Caenorhabditis elegans: one gene and its partner. The protein of the gene in region 1 interacts with the protein of each later gene in a pairwise test. Each region holds a gene or a part of one and is shown on either strand. Other genes may lie near its edges.

The links. Proteins that work in one complex are often made in the same cells at the same time.
Region 2: the proteins of abu-11 (region 1) and pdhb-1 interact in a two-hybrid assay, tested with the Caenorhabditis elegans proteins (one large-scale study listed by BioGRID).

The regions. Positions count from the first base shown.
Region 1 is NC_003280.10:190,099-197,996, reverse strand, and holds abu-11 (Activated in Blocked Unfolded protein response), read left to right. Parts: upstream 1-3,438; 5' UTR 3,439-3,462; coding exon 3,463-3,537; intron 3,538-4,182; coding exon 4,183-4,401; intron 4,402-4,449; coding exon 4,450-5,019; intron 5,020-5,081; coding exon 5,082-5,405; 3' UTR 5,406-5,488; downstream 5,489-7,898. Other genes in the region: chs-2 (chitin synthase), read right to left, coding at 1-179, 926-1,012; T01D1.8 (ZP domain-containing protein), read right to left, coding at 5,958-6,065, 6,538-6,657, 6,704-6,911.
Region 2 is NC_003282.8:3,397,265-3,406,561, forward strand, and holds pdhb-1 (Pyruvate dehydrogenase E1 component subunit beta, mitochondrial), read left to right. Parts: upstream 1-2,407; 5' UTR 2,408-2,423; coding exon 2,424-2,493; intron 2,494-2,623; coding exon 2,624-2,809; intron 2,810-3,344; coding exon 3,345-3,475; intron 3,476-4,165; coding exon 4,166-4,343; intron 4,344-4,984; coding exon 4,985-5,366; intron 5,367-6,309; coding exon 6,310-6,421; 3' UTR 6,422-6,639; downstream 6,640-9,297. Other genes in the region: dyf-3 (Clusterin-associated protein 1 homolog), read right to left, coding at 3-58, 108-256, 303-473, 919-1,119, 1,176-1,434, 1,526-1,637, 1,838-1,859. UniProt on the Caenorhabditis elegans protein: The pyruvate dehydrogenase complex catalyzes the overall conversion of pyruvate to acetyl-CoA and CO(2).

The DNA of each region.
Region 1 (7,898 bases):
CTTTTTGGCTCTTCATATTCTTTATCCTCTTCCTTCTTTGCTACCTCTTGGGAACTGGAATAGTGTTGCTCTTCTTCATCCTTGACTCCAGATTCCTCAATTTGGGTTTCAATTTTTCGAAATCTAACCGTCTCCGAAGAATCTTCAAGGCCAAGAAGCGCATATCCGTAGAGGGATACCTGTAAAATGTGAATTATCATTGTGAAAACTCAAATTCAAAATCAGATTTAGTTGCATTCGATTCGACACAAAATTGATGCTGAAGAACATATGATTTTTAAACCAAAATTTTATAATTTTCAAAAAAAAATTATTTATATTTAAAAAACTAGATAAGTAAATGGAGTTACAAACAATATGTGCCTATTGCCCTCCAGAAATGGTTGGTTGGCTATATTTACGGCCAGGTGTTATCGATTCATTATAGATTTGTTTTTGCCCACTTTTTAGTCAGACACTCTAGTTTGCATTCCTGACTAATTGTTTCATTTTACAAAAAAAAAAAACTCTAAAAAATTCTTATTTTACCACACCACTTAAGAAAAATATTTAAAACACTGAATTTTTCAATTTCCGACTCGGAAATTTTTTTAATCTGAATTTTTTTTTCATCCACTAAAACAGTGAAAAAAAAAACCATCACGGGATTTTTCCAAAAAAAAAAATTCCAAAAAACTTCCAGAATACTTGTCTACCTCGAAACAGCTTAAAAATCATAGTAATTTTTGAAAAATTATCATTTGCGGCAATTTAACGGGCCTCTAAAGTAGTGAAAAAAAGCAATTTCAGAGCGACTTTTATTCTGTTCAAAGTGCTCCTCTGCCGCTAAAAGTTTTGTGGGGGCCTAGAAAATAATGATGCGCTTTTATGAAATAAACTTTAATTACAGAATGTGAAGGAAATAAATGTAGAAAAAACAACTAACCAAATGATCGAGAGGGACCTGGGCTCCAGTATGTGAGTCCTGAACCCACTCCTCCACAAACTCCTTTTCCTTATTACCACTGTCCATCCTAGCACGTCATACTATGGCAAAATATGAAACTGAGCCTCACAAGGTCTCTGCCCATCGGCGATTTCCCCCTATTCAAAACCCATTTCTTCTCACTTTTCATGTTGTATTTGCCTCCCAAACAATTAGTTGTTGTAGCTGTCATTGAATGACCTGCGGGTGCCTGTGAGCACCGGTTTTCAGGCAGACAGGATTGTATTCTATTAGTGAGTAGACGAAAAGGAAGAAACAACGTCTGATTACGTAGGCAACGACCAAGCATCGATACATTATTCAAGGATCAGAAAATCAAGCTCAATTGTTTTGGAAATTTTTAAACATCACTTTTTGAAACTGTCTACCTCTTGGACTACACGTTGAGGTGCCAAAAATTAATTTCGGAAAAAAATCACAATAGCTAAAACCTAAATTTGGCTTTTTTTTCTCAGAAAGTTGATAAACATATTATGTGTGAAACTTCTTTCAAATATTATATTTGAATCAGGGATGGGCGGCAAACGATTTTTTCCGGCAAATTGCTAAATTGCCGGAATTGAAATTTTTGGCAAATCGGCAAACTAGCAAATTGCCGGAATTGAAAATTTTCAGCAAACCAGTCAACCGGCAATTTACCGATTTTCCGAATTTGTCGACAAAAAAACTTCCGAACGGCAATTGCCGCCCGCCCCTAATTTGAAAAGTTTTTGTATAATACGGTTCGACAGCCGTACACATTTTTTGTTGTGTAGCTCTCAAATACACGCTGTGATTTGAGAATCCATGCATCTGATCTTTTGCAGAGTCTTCCTATCGAAAAGAGCAAATTTCTCAGTACCCCTTGATCTTTTGTAGAACTGCTCATTCACAGCATCTAATCCCCCCACACGTCTTAACATAATTAGCATTCCTACATTAGCTACTACATGTGTTGATTATTTGTCTAACAAGATAGAGATAGTGTATACATACTTCCGCTCTCATAAAGACCGGTCATTTTCCGTGCTCATTCTCACTCTCGCAATGTTCTTCCCACACCCTTGATCCTAAGGAAACATGCTCCTCAAGAATAATCTCTTGAAAAGCGTGAGCGATTGTGGTAACAAAAAATCATGAGTATCAATGAAAACAATTCAACGGAATTTGGATTTGGGTGGGTGTGAAGGCGCTGTAAAAAAATGTAATATGAATTTAAGACCTCTATCTGCAAAAAGGTACAATGTAATTTTACAAAGTATTCAAGGTTTCCCTTGAAATAATTTTATAAAAACATTCGTACTAAATATCGAAAACTGCACCAAAACTATTTGCCGAGTGGATTTATCAGTTTCCCGCAATATTGGCAAGACTATCAGGTTATATGATATGATATTAGTATGAGTGCACCTCCACAAGAGTAAAGATGCAATGACTAAGATCAAAAAATTCCATTCCGCTTTGAGCACAAAAAAGATTCAGCGCTGGTAAACTAGTTCTCACCAAGTTTAGAACATCAAACAATTGACGCAATTTGTAGGTCATAGACTGGCAGGTTTTTGATGTTTTACATGACAAGTTTGAGAATAATGAAAGCAATCTTCATACATTTTAATAACTTTTTAAAGAGTTTTTAACTGATATCTTCCTAGAGCAACAAAAACAGCTTATATTTGCAAACATAACCATTTAAAGTTGAAAATGATACTTTTGCCATTGGGTTTTGAATTTGTCAAAATCTTGTTATTAATTTATTTTACTCATGTAGTTTCTAGAAAACATGTCATTCGTCCTGAAACCCCATGGAGCATACGTTATTGTCCTGTCAGAATGTTATTACGTAATATATTACTCATGACATTTACACCATATACAAAAATCTATTTATTTGCAAATATGTTCCATGATTATTTTCTGAGCAACAACAATTATATCATAGTCTAGACTTCACAGGGATAATTAATGTTGTTGGGAAGAAAAGTAAGAACTTTAGAAATGGTGATTGACCGAGTGAACTCTCAAATATCTATTTTTGTCTTTGTAATAACTCTATGAGTAATGAGGAATGAGGAACTGAATTTGTGACTGCAAATTAATCAGAAAGATTATTTAAAGAAGAAAGATATTTTGCTGTAGTTTGTGATGGCTGCTGAAAGACCACCGGAAGACTTTTGACATCGACCAAGTCCTGAAAGATCACGTCCCTCCAGTTCTTCAACTGTAACCCTTGTGAATACTAGAAAGTAAAAAACAAAAAAATAACAACATGTCAACATAACAACACGCCCTCCCCCTCTTGCTCTGCTCTTCCAAACACATGAGCACACACACACACAGGCACACGCAAAAAATTTGGAGACGCATCACTCGAAGAAACCGGAATTTGGGACAGAGGTGGTAGTAGAGGAGAGGGGGCGATGTTTAACTGATTGCAACGGGAAGATATATAAGCAAGAGCATGTATTGGGACAATCATCACTCACTCTGACAAGCTTGAAATGAACACCAAATTTTCAATTCTCTTTTCGCTTTTGGCGGTTTCAGCACTTGCGGTGGCTGCTGAGGAGAATGTGGTATGTATTATTTTTATGAATCTAATTATAAATATTTCATTTGTTCCCCTTTTCTAACTCTTATATTATAAATACTTATTTTTTAATTTTAAAACATTTCGTGCTCACTCACAAGCAATTGCATAACTTGAATATGAATTAAGTAAAATATAGGAACTTCTTAATATATGTTTCAAATAGTTTATCGTTTGACTTCATTATTTTACTACTGAAAATTTAGCAACAGGGGAGTATTTTGAGCTGCAAAAAAGTCGTTCTGAAAAGTTTTCAATGAATTTTTCACAACTTTCGAACTATCGAGGGCAGTAAAAATGTGCCAAGTGTGAATTTTTGCTGACTTTCAAGAGCTTCTAGCATGTTTAGGAGCTGGCTAACAATCGTAAATTTTTTTGGAATTTTTAATTTTTTGAAAAAATCTGAAATTTTTTCACTCAAGGGGTTTTTCTGATTTTCAATTTTACGGGCTTCTAAAGTAATAAAAAAAATACACTAATAGCAACTTCAGATCGAAATTTTTCTAGTTCTAAGTTCTCCTCTGCCGCTTAATTTTTTTTGCAAGGGCCTATTTAGAAGGTTTTTTGCAAATGAGATATTATCCAGAAGACTAAAAAATTAAGTTGAAAAATTAAGTCGTTCCTTTTTCAGTTCCTCCGCGCTCGTCGCCAATCTTCATGTGGATGCGCCATTCCAGCTGCTCCACAATGCAACTGCCAACCAGCTCAAACCAACACCGCCCAACAATCTTGCTCCTGCGCTCAAGCTCAACAGCCATCAAGCTGCGGATGCGCTCAACAGTATCAGCAACAACAGTGTGCACCAACTTGTCAGAGCTCCTGTGAACAGAGCTGTGTTGCCCAGCAACAGGTTAGTCAAACCAAATTCAACCCAGTTAGCCATTTCATATTATTTAAGCCAATCGCCCAGTGCCAATCATCTTGCTCTTCCACTTGCCAGTCCGCATGCGCTCAGCCAGTTCAGCTTCAGCAGCCAGCTCAGCAACAGTGCCAACAAGATTGTCAAGCTGCTTGCCCACAACAACAACAACCACAGCAACAGTGCCAGCAGCAATGCCAGACGACATGTCAATCCGATGATCAGTACTCTCAACAATTGATCCAACAGCAAACCTACGCTCAGCCAGGACAAATCCCAGCCTACACCGGAAGATCCGAGTACAATACTGCCCCACCACAACAGCAACAAGCCAGTCAATGCAATACCTGCCAAAACTCGTGCCTTAACACATGCCAGCAGCAACAGCAGCCAGTGCAACAGTGCCAATCATCATGTGATCAATCGTGCCAGCCACAATGTGCCACGCCATCTGGCTCCGCTTACAACCAAGTCAACTACCAGCCACAGGCCCAGAACAACTACCAAACCAACAACAACTACCAACAGCCAGGAGCCATTCCATCATACCAAGGAGCTTCCCAGACTGCTGCACCAACCTACCAGCCATACAGAGACACCAATGTTCAGGTAACATATTAATAGTATTACTTCTAAATCTAGATTTAAAGAAATCCAACCTAAATTTGTAGGTCGGAGGAACCATCTCCCAGTGCAACACTTGCCAAACCCAGTGCAACCAGGAATGCCAAGTCCAGCAGACCCCAGTGAACCAGTGCGCTCCACAATGCGACGCTCAATGCCAGCCAGCCTGCTCCCCAGCTGCTCCAGCAGCTCCAGTTCAAACGCAACAACAAATTCAGCTTACCATCAATGTTCCAGTTGCTCGTCAGTCCCCACAGTGTCAGCCACAATGTGAGCAAAGCTGCAACACCCAATGCATTCAGCAACAGCAACCAATCTCGCAGTGTCAGCCAGCTTGTCAGCAGAGTTGTTCGGCTTCCTGCAGAAAGTAAATTAACTTTAATTATTAATTTTTGGGAAAAAATAACTTTGTGATGGTTTTTTGTGTATATTTTGATAAATAAATTGTTTTCTACATATGTTCATCTCCTGCATCATACATCTTCACTAAATATTTTATCATTATTATTCCCTCTTGGGATGATAATTACAGAGAAATTTCTAGAATAGAAAAATTTATGAATCATTCAGTCATGTAAATTTTAGCTTTCAATCTCTATAATCTGCGGAACATCTATCTTCTTTTTTTTCTTTTCCACTCAATTTCTGAAACTGAAGTTTTACCACAAAAGCTAAACCCACCAATTACGTGTTATATTTGAAAAGCGGTAAGAAACTTAAAATAATGAACGGTCATCAAGGGTGTTACCTGCGTCAATAAGGGTTTTCGGTGTTTAATTCCAGTCTTTTGGGAATATTAGTTGTTATAGATTTTGACACAAAAAACCTCCACGCAATAATAATTAAACATTTCGTACATAAATCCTGCGTGTGAAACTTTTTGAAAAATTTTATTAGACAAAATGTTTTATTCATATCATATCTCAATTTAAATATCTCGAAAATCGTCGTTGGTTTCCACATCGAGGCCTCTGACACTGTTCATGGTCCTTGAACAGCATTTTTATATTGCATGTGAAATGAACAGCCGTCTGAGATTTTAGAAGTGATATTTTCCACACGATTCTTAAAGGTAGAGTAGCGTCAGTGGGGAGAGTGTTAAAAACTACTCATTTTATAGCAAAATGACCAAATACCATAATAAAACTTTTCAAAAATTTTTAAAGAATTTTTTGTTTACTGTCAAAAAGTGGCAATTACTCAGTTTTTTCATTTGCCACTCATAGTTTTGAAAGTCGACCAAAATTTGTTTCCTACATTCTTTATACTGTAATTTTGTCTTGGTTATTCGTCTTGAAACATTATAGAACGTCGGAAGATGCGACATTGCCTTAGATTTCCTCAAAATCTTTTTTTTTTTTGAATAGGGAAATTTGCCAAAACTTTGACCGGAAATTATGAAAATCTAAAATTTGTTGAGTGTTTTATTATGATATTCGGTGGTTTTGGGTTATTATAACTGTAGACAAAATTCCCACTGGTGCTATTCCACTTTTAACTTACCGTGTCCACATCCAATGCGAACGCGTGAACCTTAATTCCAGCTGATAAATCTCCTTGATATGATATATCGGGTAGAATGTTTGGGAACACCGAACACCCATTCTCGTCGATTATTTGAATCTTTAAATGATACTCTACTATTGAGTTGTTATCGACCTGCTCTTACCTTCCTTGTTCCTATTTCTTCCTCCCCGCTGTCTGAAATCGTGCAATTATTGACCATCACACAGAACAAGTAGTTTTTGTGATCGCCACTATAATTACAATTCCACGAGTGATAAATTTCATCTCCAATGTTCACTTTTGATGTCACAATTCGTCCAAGTTTGTCTGATCCATGATGTACACTGTACTTGCATTCTGGTTCAGGAAACCTACAACGATGGTTCAAAAAGAAATAAATTGAATGTTTTATGTTTTTCCTGATTTCAAAGACGATATCAATCCCTCCGCAATTGCCATACGGCAATTTTTTTGTCGACAATTTCGGCGAATTCGGCAAATGTTTTGCCGATTTGCAAGAAATTTAGAATTCCAACAATTTGCCGGTTTGCCAATGTGCCGGAAATTTTTATTCTTGACAAATTGCCGATTCGCCGTTTGCCGGACATCAGTTTTGCCGAAAATGTTCAGAGGAACTTTTTCTCTCTTGAACAGTGCTTTTTTTAAAATTTTTCCTCGTATTCTTTAGATATTTTCGTAGAACTTGTTTTTTTTTTTCAAAAAACTCCCCAGTTTCTCGTGCAACTCAATTCTCAAAGGAAAAATAGTCAGTCCATTATCTTAATTCAATATTGTTCAAATCCTTATCTAGTAACTCCATACGCACACATCTATCGCTTCTAGCCTCATAGCCATCAATTATGATTTTCAGATATTCTTCTCGTTTATGACTATTTTTCTGCGTTTTCGTGTGTGTCGAATGTCTGCTAATAAAACCCCTTGATTTGTTACCGCTGTGCTGAAATTTTTGGGCGGAGTCTGCTGCTGTGCCACCTCTACCCTATGAGCTTCATTAGGCTTGTCGACGACACATTAAGCTTTACTTTTCGAGTGTCTATAAAAATATTTTATGCGCAAACTTCTAGCTTTTGTCAGAAATCTAACAAATGCCGATTATTGTTCTTACACGTACTCCCCAATTAGTCTAGCGAAGTTTGTCTGATGTTTGCTACCAAATATATACAAACCACACTTCCTTAAAAGACAAAGGCTCGCCGATTTGAGAAAAATACCCAACTACACCAAACGTTGCCTCAGACGTGCCAAATTTGACATTTTTCTAAAAGTACATAACAACTAATGTTTAAATTAAATGCCTTGCATTTTTAACAATAAAATTCCGAAACTGTGCTCCCCGT
Region 2 (9,297 bases), on another chromosome or scaffold:
ACACTGCCTCCTGTCCACCAAGGGGGCGTCGGAGCCGTCGTCGTCGTGGAGTCCGATGCTGAAATAAGGATGTCAGTCGGAAGTTCTAAACTTCCATGAAAACTCACGCATCCTTCTTCTCCTGCTCCAGCCGCATTTTCTCAACGGCCATCCTCATCGCCTTCTCCAGCTCCTCCTGCCGTTGCCGCTCGGACCTCGCCAAGTCATCATGAACTTTTCGCAGATAGGACAGGTTGCGGAAGTTCAGCACGTAGACCTGGAAGCTTAGGCTTCACAGGGCAGCTCGGTATCCGGTGTCTTACCTCATAAAGTTTCTTCAGTCGCTCCTCAAACCGCTCGTACTCGTCCATATACTGAGGTCGGAAGGACTGTAGCTTTGCGAATCTTTTTTGCAACTGCTCGTACTCTCGCTTCTTTCGCTCTATCTTCTCGTCGAGCTCTGCCTCATCGCTGGCCACGTTGTTCAGCTTGTTCTGAAAATTTGAGAGGTTAGCTGGGGAGCCTGCACCTAACCTAATTGTAAGTGACTCAGACCCTCCGGGCTTTAAGAACAATCACGTGGGTTCGAGTGGAGTGGGTGTTGCTTCAAGCCAGTTAGGCTAATTCAGTCTATTCCTTCAGCTCCAAGATCCTCAGCGGACTCCTCGAGGCTAGGGGTCTCTGAGCTTCTGGAGAAGATGCACAGGCCCGGTCTAGTGGCTTGAAGCCCTGCATATACCACTAGAGTTCAGGTAATGAAGCTTCAAAGTCTGAATCAAAGTTCAAGTCACTCTTTGACCAAGCCCACGCCATTAGAAGAAGTCCAAGCTTTTTACTGTCCGCTTCACAATCAGGATCGAGCCAGGCCAATCTCTCAAACTCTAAGACGCCAGAGCTCAAACCTACGCCACCAGGAGCTCCGTGACCCGTCAAGCTTACCGATAGCTGCTCAGTCTCCTGAGCGATGTTCTGCACTGTTGCCTGCAGCACCTTCTCGGCCTCAGCAAGTGGTACCGCCCGTGACGCGGCTCTCTCGTGTTGCTGAGATATGAACTCCTGCCGGGACAGCAGCTCACTGAGCAGGGCACCTGTTTCCGGGAGTTGTGATGATAGCTGACGAGTGATTCGGACCTCCTGCATCTGAACTTTCGACAGTTTTTTCAGGCTTTTTCAGGCTGGTGGCCTGTGAGACCCACCTTCGACGAGAGCTTATTCTTGACTTGGGTCCATTTTGGCGAGTTATCAGTGTTCGGGTCCTCTGCCTTGGCCTGGTAGAGGATCTTCATGGCCGGTAGGAGTTCCTGCACCGCATGACCATCAGCCTGGTACAACTTTTTTGGATTCATCTTGATTCTCGAATTTTGGAGCATCAGGAGTACCGCGTTCTTGATGAAAGCGACCCGATCAGCTTCTGTTTGGACTTCGTGTGCGTCAAGGTTGGATTCGGGCTCAAATCTGGAATTTTTGGGCTTAGAGTAGGCTTGGAAGTTAGTGGCCAAAGTTTCTATATTTTTCGGCCAACGATTTTTTTCACTGGGAAACTAACTTTTTCACGATCCATTCCAGCAATTCAGCCACCAGCTGAAAATTTGGGGTCCGGAAATTCTCAATTGACATCAAGCGAGGGTATCGGAGGCTTCGCGTCATCTCACACAGGTCTGAAGTTGGCGAAATTTGGGACTAGAATCCGAACTCGGCCATGATTTTGTAAAATTCAATTTTAAGTGTATTTTGGGTCTTTTTTTTGCGTTTTATGGTTTAGAAACATTTCTCACCTAGATTTTAATGCAACACTTATTTTTTCCATATGAAAATCTCAAAGTTCAAATTTAAAATTAAAAAAGCCTTAAAAACTTACTTCTCAGCTCACGATACGACATTTTTCGTGCAGAATTCAATTGAAACTTCTCTTCTCAACAATTGCCTGCCTATTCCCCCATTCAATATTTCCTCCGTTCCCATAGAAACTCCCTGCAAACACCCCAAAGACTACGGTCGACGAGCTTCTGCAGCTCAACCGGCGTTTTGTACGCAAACACCGCGACGCCATATTGCACACATTTTTCGAGAGGAGCGCCGCGCGCATTTTCTCCGAGTTTTGTTTGCTTTTTTGCGCATCTTTCATTGATTTTTTATTAAAATCGGGGGAAATATGGTTTAAATTATCGATTTCCGCCTGTTTTAGTGGTGAAAATGTGAAAAATCGTAGTGAAAAACCCTAGAAACCAGTAAAATTCTATTTGGAAGGGTTTTGGTCTAAATTTTGAGTTTTTAGCATTAAAACAATATGCTCAGCAGAAAAACTAATGAAAATGTGAGAATTTTGAATCAAAATACCTAAATTTTTTAAAAAATCCTAGTTTTTCTCTATTTTTCTCAAAATTTCCGGCAAAAGCCTCAAAATTTCAATTAATTTCCGGTTTTTCAGGTAATCCCCGGTCGAAATGGCTCTGAGAAAGTGTGGAAACCTGTTCGTGGCTCGTCTCGCTGGCACCTCGACCAGAGCGGCTTCCAGTGAGTAGAAATTGCAAAAAATGAATGGAAAAAAAACGAAAAAATCGCTGATTACCGGCTAAAAATGAAGAATTGAACGGAAAAAACGAATTTTAACCTAAAAAAGCATAAAAATCGCCAATTTTTTCAGCAATGACCGTCCGTGACGCCCTAAATCAGGCTATGGACGAGGAAATCAAACGTGACGACCGAGTTTTCCTGATGGGAGAAGAAGTTGCTCAGTACGACGGAGCTTACAAGATTTCCAAGGGATTGTGGAAGAAGCACGGTGATAAGCGAGTCGTCGACACTCCAATTACTGAAATGGGATTCGCTGGTACGGGAAATCACGCTGGAAATCGAGAAAAATCGAGAAATGTTGACTCGGAACGTCAAAATCACTAATAAATCCCCAAAAACAGCACCATTTTTTCGAAAAGAAAGTGTCCAAATTTACTTTAATTTTGGATCTTTTCTCTCAAAAGTTCAGTTTTTACACTAAAAATTGGATTTTTCGAACAAATTTCGGAAATTTTCCTAAAAACAATTAATTTTCGGCATTTTTTATTGAAAATTTCAATATTCACTGCAAAAAGCTCGGAAATTACGGAGTTTTGATATTTTTCGCAGAAAATTCCGGTTTTATCAAAATTTTGTCGAAAATTAAGCTGAAAAATCACATTTTTTATATAAAAATCAGATTTTTCCCAATGTTATTTGCAGAAAAGCTCTAAGACCGCGCAAATTCAATTTTTCAGCAAAAATTGTCTAAAAAGCTCGAATTTTCGCATTTTTCTCGATTTATTCAATTTTTAGCAAAATTTTTTCAGAAAAAACTGAAAATTCCTCCAAAAAAATCACATTTTTTTCAGGAATCGCCGTCGGTGCTGCCTTCGCCGGGCTCCGTCCAATTTGCGAGTTCATGACATTCAATTTTTCCATGCAAGCCATCGATCAGATTATTAATTCAGCCGCAAAAACATATTATATGTCCGCCGGAAGGGTACGGTCTTGGCAATGTGCCACGTTTTCTGGAAATTGCGATTTTCAGCGAAAAAATAGCCGAAAAATTGAAGATTTTCACCAAATTTTTGACTAATTCGTGAGAAATCACGCTTTCTGCTATTTTTAGAACGAAATTCCTCGGTTTACACTGATTTTTCAGGAAAAAGTCAATTTCTGATACAAAAAATGCGATTTTTCTAGATTTTTGACTGAAAATCAGGGTTTTTCTGAAATTTCTACACAAATTTTACCTCAACAGAGCTGATTTTAGCTTTAAAATCCGATTTTTCTCGACTTTTCACTGAAAATTTCATTTTTTCAGCCATTTTCGTTGAATTTATGCTGAAAAATCATGTTTTTCACATGGTCTCACGCCATTTTGATAAGAAAAAATTTGTAAAAATCATCAACTGATAAGAATTCTTATCACTGAACACTTTCTGATCAGTGAATTTTATCAGAAATTGGAAATTTTTTTTCGGAAAATCGGTCCAAAACTGAGAAAATATAGGGAATTTATAACTTTTAAAGTTTTTTTTTCTTGTTTTTTTTTCTGAAAACACCGCTTTTCCAAGAAAAATACCGGAGAAAATGATATTTATAAAATCATTGAAGAAACATTTGAAAACGAAAATTGTAGAGATTTTGTAATATCTGAAGAAAAAAATCGAGAAAATTTATTTTCCAGGTACCCGTCCCAATCGTATTCCGTGGACCAAATGGAGCCGCCGCCGGAGTTGCTGCTCAGCATTCTCAAGACTTTTCAGCTTGGTATGCTCATTGTCCAGGACTGAAGGTTGTCTGTCCGTACAGTGCTGAAGATGCGAAGGGACTCCTGAAAGCTGCGATTCGTGACGATAATCCGGGTACTTGTCGCGAAAATTGGAGATTTTCGATGCAAAATTCAGATTTTCCAGAAAATTTCAGTCAACAACCGTGACAACTGGAAAACTTCTGATATTTTCGAAATTTTAGGATCAAATTAAGCGGTTTCTTGAAATTTTCCGGGTTACTGTAGCTCCAAAAGTACGCAAACACCATATTTTACGAAATTGGGAGCTTTTTGGCTGAAAATTTCAGTTTAGACTGATTAAAAGGTGGCAAATTTGAATTTTTAATTCATTTTTTGAGTTTTTAACGATTTTCTTGTGAAAAATGGTTTTCCGAACACCAATGTTTGCGTGCTTTTGACGCTACAGTAACCCCGAATCAAAAAATCGGCGCTATTTTCATCAAAAATTTGAGAAAAGTCGGTTTTTGTTTAGTTTTTTCATTCAAAAATGTTTTTTTTTTACTTTTTTTCCGGAGATTTACATTGTAAAATCTAAATTTCGAAAAATATTGTGCAAATTTAGCAGTTTTTCAGGAAAAAATCCAAAAAAAATTAAAAATTCTATAGGAAAATATCTGAAAACCAGTTTTTTTTCAGTTTTGGCCGAAAATTCTGCGAAAATTTATAATATTCTCCTAAATTCAATTTTTCGGGAAAAATTCGAATTTTTTGCAGTTGTCTTCCTGGAAAACGAGATTCTCTATGGACAATCGTTCCCAGTCGGCGACGAGGTTCTTTCCGATGATTTCGTGGTTCCAATTGGCAAGGCAAAGATCGAAAGAGCTGGTGATCACGTAACAATTGTCTCGTATTCACGTGGAGTTGAATTTTCACTGGAAGCTGCAAAACAGCTTGAAGCTATCGGAGTTTCAGCAGAAGTTATTAATCTTCGCTCACTTCGTCCATTTGATTTCGAATCGATTCGTCAATCAGTTCATAAGACTCATCATTTGGTGTCTGTTGAGACTGGATGGCCATTTGCTGGAATTGGCTCAGAAATTGCTGCTCAAGTTATGGAGAGCGATGTTTTCGATCAACTTGACGCGCCACTTTTGAGGTCCGTAAGAGAAAATTTGCGAAAAATGGCTTAAAATGCTAAAAATTTGATGAATAACTGCTAAGAATGGCACAAAACTTGAAATTTTATCTTTAAAATGTTCCAAATTTGACATTTTCTGAAAAGTTGAAGGAAATACTCGAAATTATCTGAAAATTTTATAATTTCATTACAAAAACAAAAAGGACCCTAAAATATGAGGAAAACAGCTGAAAATTTGTGATTCTTTCGAATTTTTCTTGTTCTTTTTTAAAGAAAAAGCGAAAAATTCGAAAATAGCTCGAAAATCTTCGAAACATGCGAAAAATCGCATAAAATCCTTTAAAATTTTCCAAAACTCCCGAAAAACACTTCAAATTTTTGTAAAAATGATCCAAACCCGAATAAAAACCTCTAAAATGCGAGAAAATGCTCCAAAATCTCAGGAAAAAACCCCCATAGAGCTCATAAATTTCTCAAAATTGCTCCAAAGTTTTAGCAAATTTTCAAAAATCCTTTAAATTCCCCTAAAAAGCTCCAAAATTGCTGAATAATTCCTCGAAAATCTCTGAAAATTTCACAAAAAAGCTCTCAAATTTTAGAAAGTCTTCACAAATTTCCAAAACCTCTGAAAATTGCTTATAAATTTCTCAAAAATGCTCCAAGGTGCTCCAAACAGCCTAAACATCCCGAAAATGCTCCAAATCTGCTCAAAAGTTGCTCCAAAATCTCTGAAAAATTCTATAAAATCTTCAAAAGCCCTCCGCAATCTCACAATACATTGCTCCAAAATTCGCTTTATAAACTCTATACTTTCTCAAACAAGCTCAAAAAATGTTAGAAATTGCTCTAAATTCTCTGAAAAAGCTCCGAATTCGTTAGAAATTTCTACAAAATTCCCTAATAAGCTCCAAAATCCCCCGAAATGCTCTAAATTTCCTAAAAATCTTAAAAAATTTTCCAGAGTCACCGGAGTCGATGTTCCAATGCCATACACTCAAACTTTGGAGGCTGCCGCCCTTCCAACCGCCGAACACGTCGTGAAAGCTGTCAAAAAGAGCCTGAATATCGCATAATTTTCTGTTTTTTTTCGTTAAAAAATCGATTTTTCTCTAATTCTCATGACCCCCGATGCCTTTTTTCCCCTAATTTTTTTTTCAAAATTTTTGGAATTTTTAAAAATTTTTAGAGCTTTTTTTTTCGAGATTTTCCCCATTTTTAGGTACTTTTCCTGTTTTTATGTTCCCCGTTTAATAGTGATTTTAGTGAGTAAAACGAGTAATAAAAGTCCCCTCAATTTCATGTTTTATGGCTCCGCGATTTCCCCGGAGCAGCAAGGTGCTCCTTCTCCGAAATTCGGGAAAAATGCGCATTTTTCCTTTCCACATTTGTCATGCAAATTCGTCGTGTTTTTTGGGAATTTTTTTGGCGCGCGCGCCTTTTTTAGTTTTATATTTGTTTGTTTTTTAGTTTTTTTCTGGAAAAGTTTTTTTTGAAAACACTAATTTTTCAAAGGATTTTCCAAAAATTTTAATTTTTCTCTATTTTTCGCAAAATTCGAGTTTACCTCACCGAGAGCTTTCAAATGAGTATAATCATGACCTGTTTTGCCTGAAATTGAGTTGGGTCTCACCACGAAAATCCCAGGGTTACTGTATTTTTCGTGGCGAGACCCAACGTTTTTTTTCAAGTTCGAGCAATGTATGCCGTGATTATACTTGTTCGAAAGCTCTCAGTGAGCTGAATTCGAAAACACAAAATTTTTTTGAGAAAGTTTAAATTCACTGGGTCTCCCCACGAAAATCTCAGGATTACTATAAATTTCGTGGCGAGACCCACATTTTTTCAACTCCAAGAAAAGTAGGTCATGATTATACTTAAATCAAAGCTCTCGGCGAGCTTTATTTGAAAATACAGGAACTTTTTTATAAAATTGGAATTTGTTGGGTCCCGCCACGAAAACTTATAATTTTTTTTGGAAATATTTCTAAATAGTTTAATTTTTGGGTATTTTACGTCTAAAATTAGCACATTTTTGTAGTTTCAGCTAAAAATAATTTCCGTAACTAGTTTTTCAAAAAAAAATTTTAGGGAAAAAATCGAAAAAAAATAAAGTGTAACAATTTTTTTTGGGAAATTTTTTTTCCAATTTTTTTTCAAAAATTCCCTGACGTGGTCGGCACCCACCGTCACACAATAATAATGCACTCCAAAAATACTTCCATTCAGAAGAAAAAAGCGCTCCCCCAAATAATTTTGTCCTCAAGTGGAGGTTGCGACGATGCCTGGCCTCCGATTTTTGGTGCTCTTCATGAAGAAAGAAGGAAGTTCTAAAAGAATTGAAAGTTCATGTTTTCTTCTAAACTTTTGGCCGGATATATTTTTTGAACTGTTTTTTTTGAACCAAAAAAAAAACTGAAAAAAATCGACATTTTTTGTTTTTTTATAAAAATTTTTAACAAAAAAATCCGAGATTCTGGTCTAGATGCAAAAAACTACAAGCCTGTAGCGTTAGCCTGATTTTTTGGGTTACTGTAGCCCCAAAAGTAAATCGCGGTGTAAACTTCGTGTCAGAATGTCTTATTTCGGCTTGATCTACGTAGATCTACAAAAATGCGGGAGATGAGACGCAGACTTATCAACTGATTTCGTATGGTTAAGAACGTGCCGACGTCACATTTTTTGGGCGAAAAATTCCCGCATTTTTTGTAGAGCAGACCGTGATGGAACAGCCTGGCACCACGTACGTATTTACTAATCGGAAAGTGAAGAATTTGAGTTTTTCAAGAAAAACTGGGTAGGTTTCCACAGTTTTGAAATTTTTAATTAAAGTTTCAAATTTTCAGATAAATTTTTTTCTTGAAAATTTTGTTTCTAAATTTTTTCCACAATCCTTTCTGAAACTTAAATCTGCAGCAACATATGTCCCCACATTTCCCTGTTGAAAATTATTCACTTTTCACGGACCACTGAAGGATGGGAGTCATCATTTCGGAATTTTTAATTTTTTTTTCGCTTTTTTTGATTTCTGAATAGGAATTATGAGAAACTAGAAATTGAGAACTACATTTTATAAAATTTTAATTTTATTTCGTGCACTTTTCTACTTTTTGGTGATTTTTCGACTGAATTTGGGCTTTTCAGTCCATAAAATCAAATTTTTAATAAAAAATTCGAATTCATCGCCTTTCATTTACCCATAATTTTTTAGCCAAAAATCTCCCAATGTCGTAAAATCTGGTGTTTGGCCACCAGTGTTTGCGTACTTTCGGCGCTACAGTACCCTTCAAATTTCAAAACTAAAGCTAGAAACTTCTGGTTTTTTGAGTATGTATTAAAATGAAATGAGAATTTCGAATTTTGGCTAAATGTTACAAAATTCTGTTGATTTTATAAACATTTGAATTTGCCAAAAAAAGTTAGAAAAAATGCCCCGAAACTGGAAAATCATTTCACTGTTCTAATTTTTATTTACAAATTTGAATTTTCCAAATCTGAATTAGTCTACCCTGCATGTTTCAGCCAAAAAGCTCCCAATGCCGTAAACTATGATGCTTGCTACGCAGGCCACCAGTGCATGCGTACTTTTGGCGCTACAGTAACCCAGAAAACTTCGAATTGAAGCTAGGGACTTCTAGTTTTTTGCATATACACCAGAAGTTTCGAGGATCTCGATTTTTTTGTTAAAGTTAAAAAAAATCAGTTCTCCAGGAGTATTCGTCCATATATCATTTAAAAAATTTTTTCGTTGAAATTTTCCGTACTCTACACTGATTTTCGTTGTGAAATTCACTTCAATTAGTCTATCGGTAAATTTTCAGCCAAAAAGCTCCAAATGTCGTAAACTATGGTGTTTCGTACGCAGATCACCAGTGTTTGCGCACTTTTGGCGCTACAGTAACCCGAAATTTAATCATTAGGGCTAGAGACTTCTACTTTTTGAATTCGAACT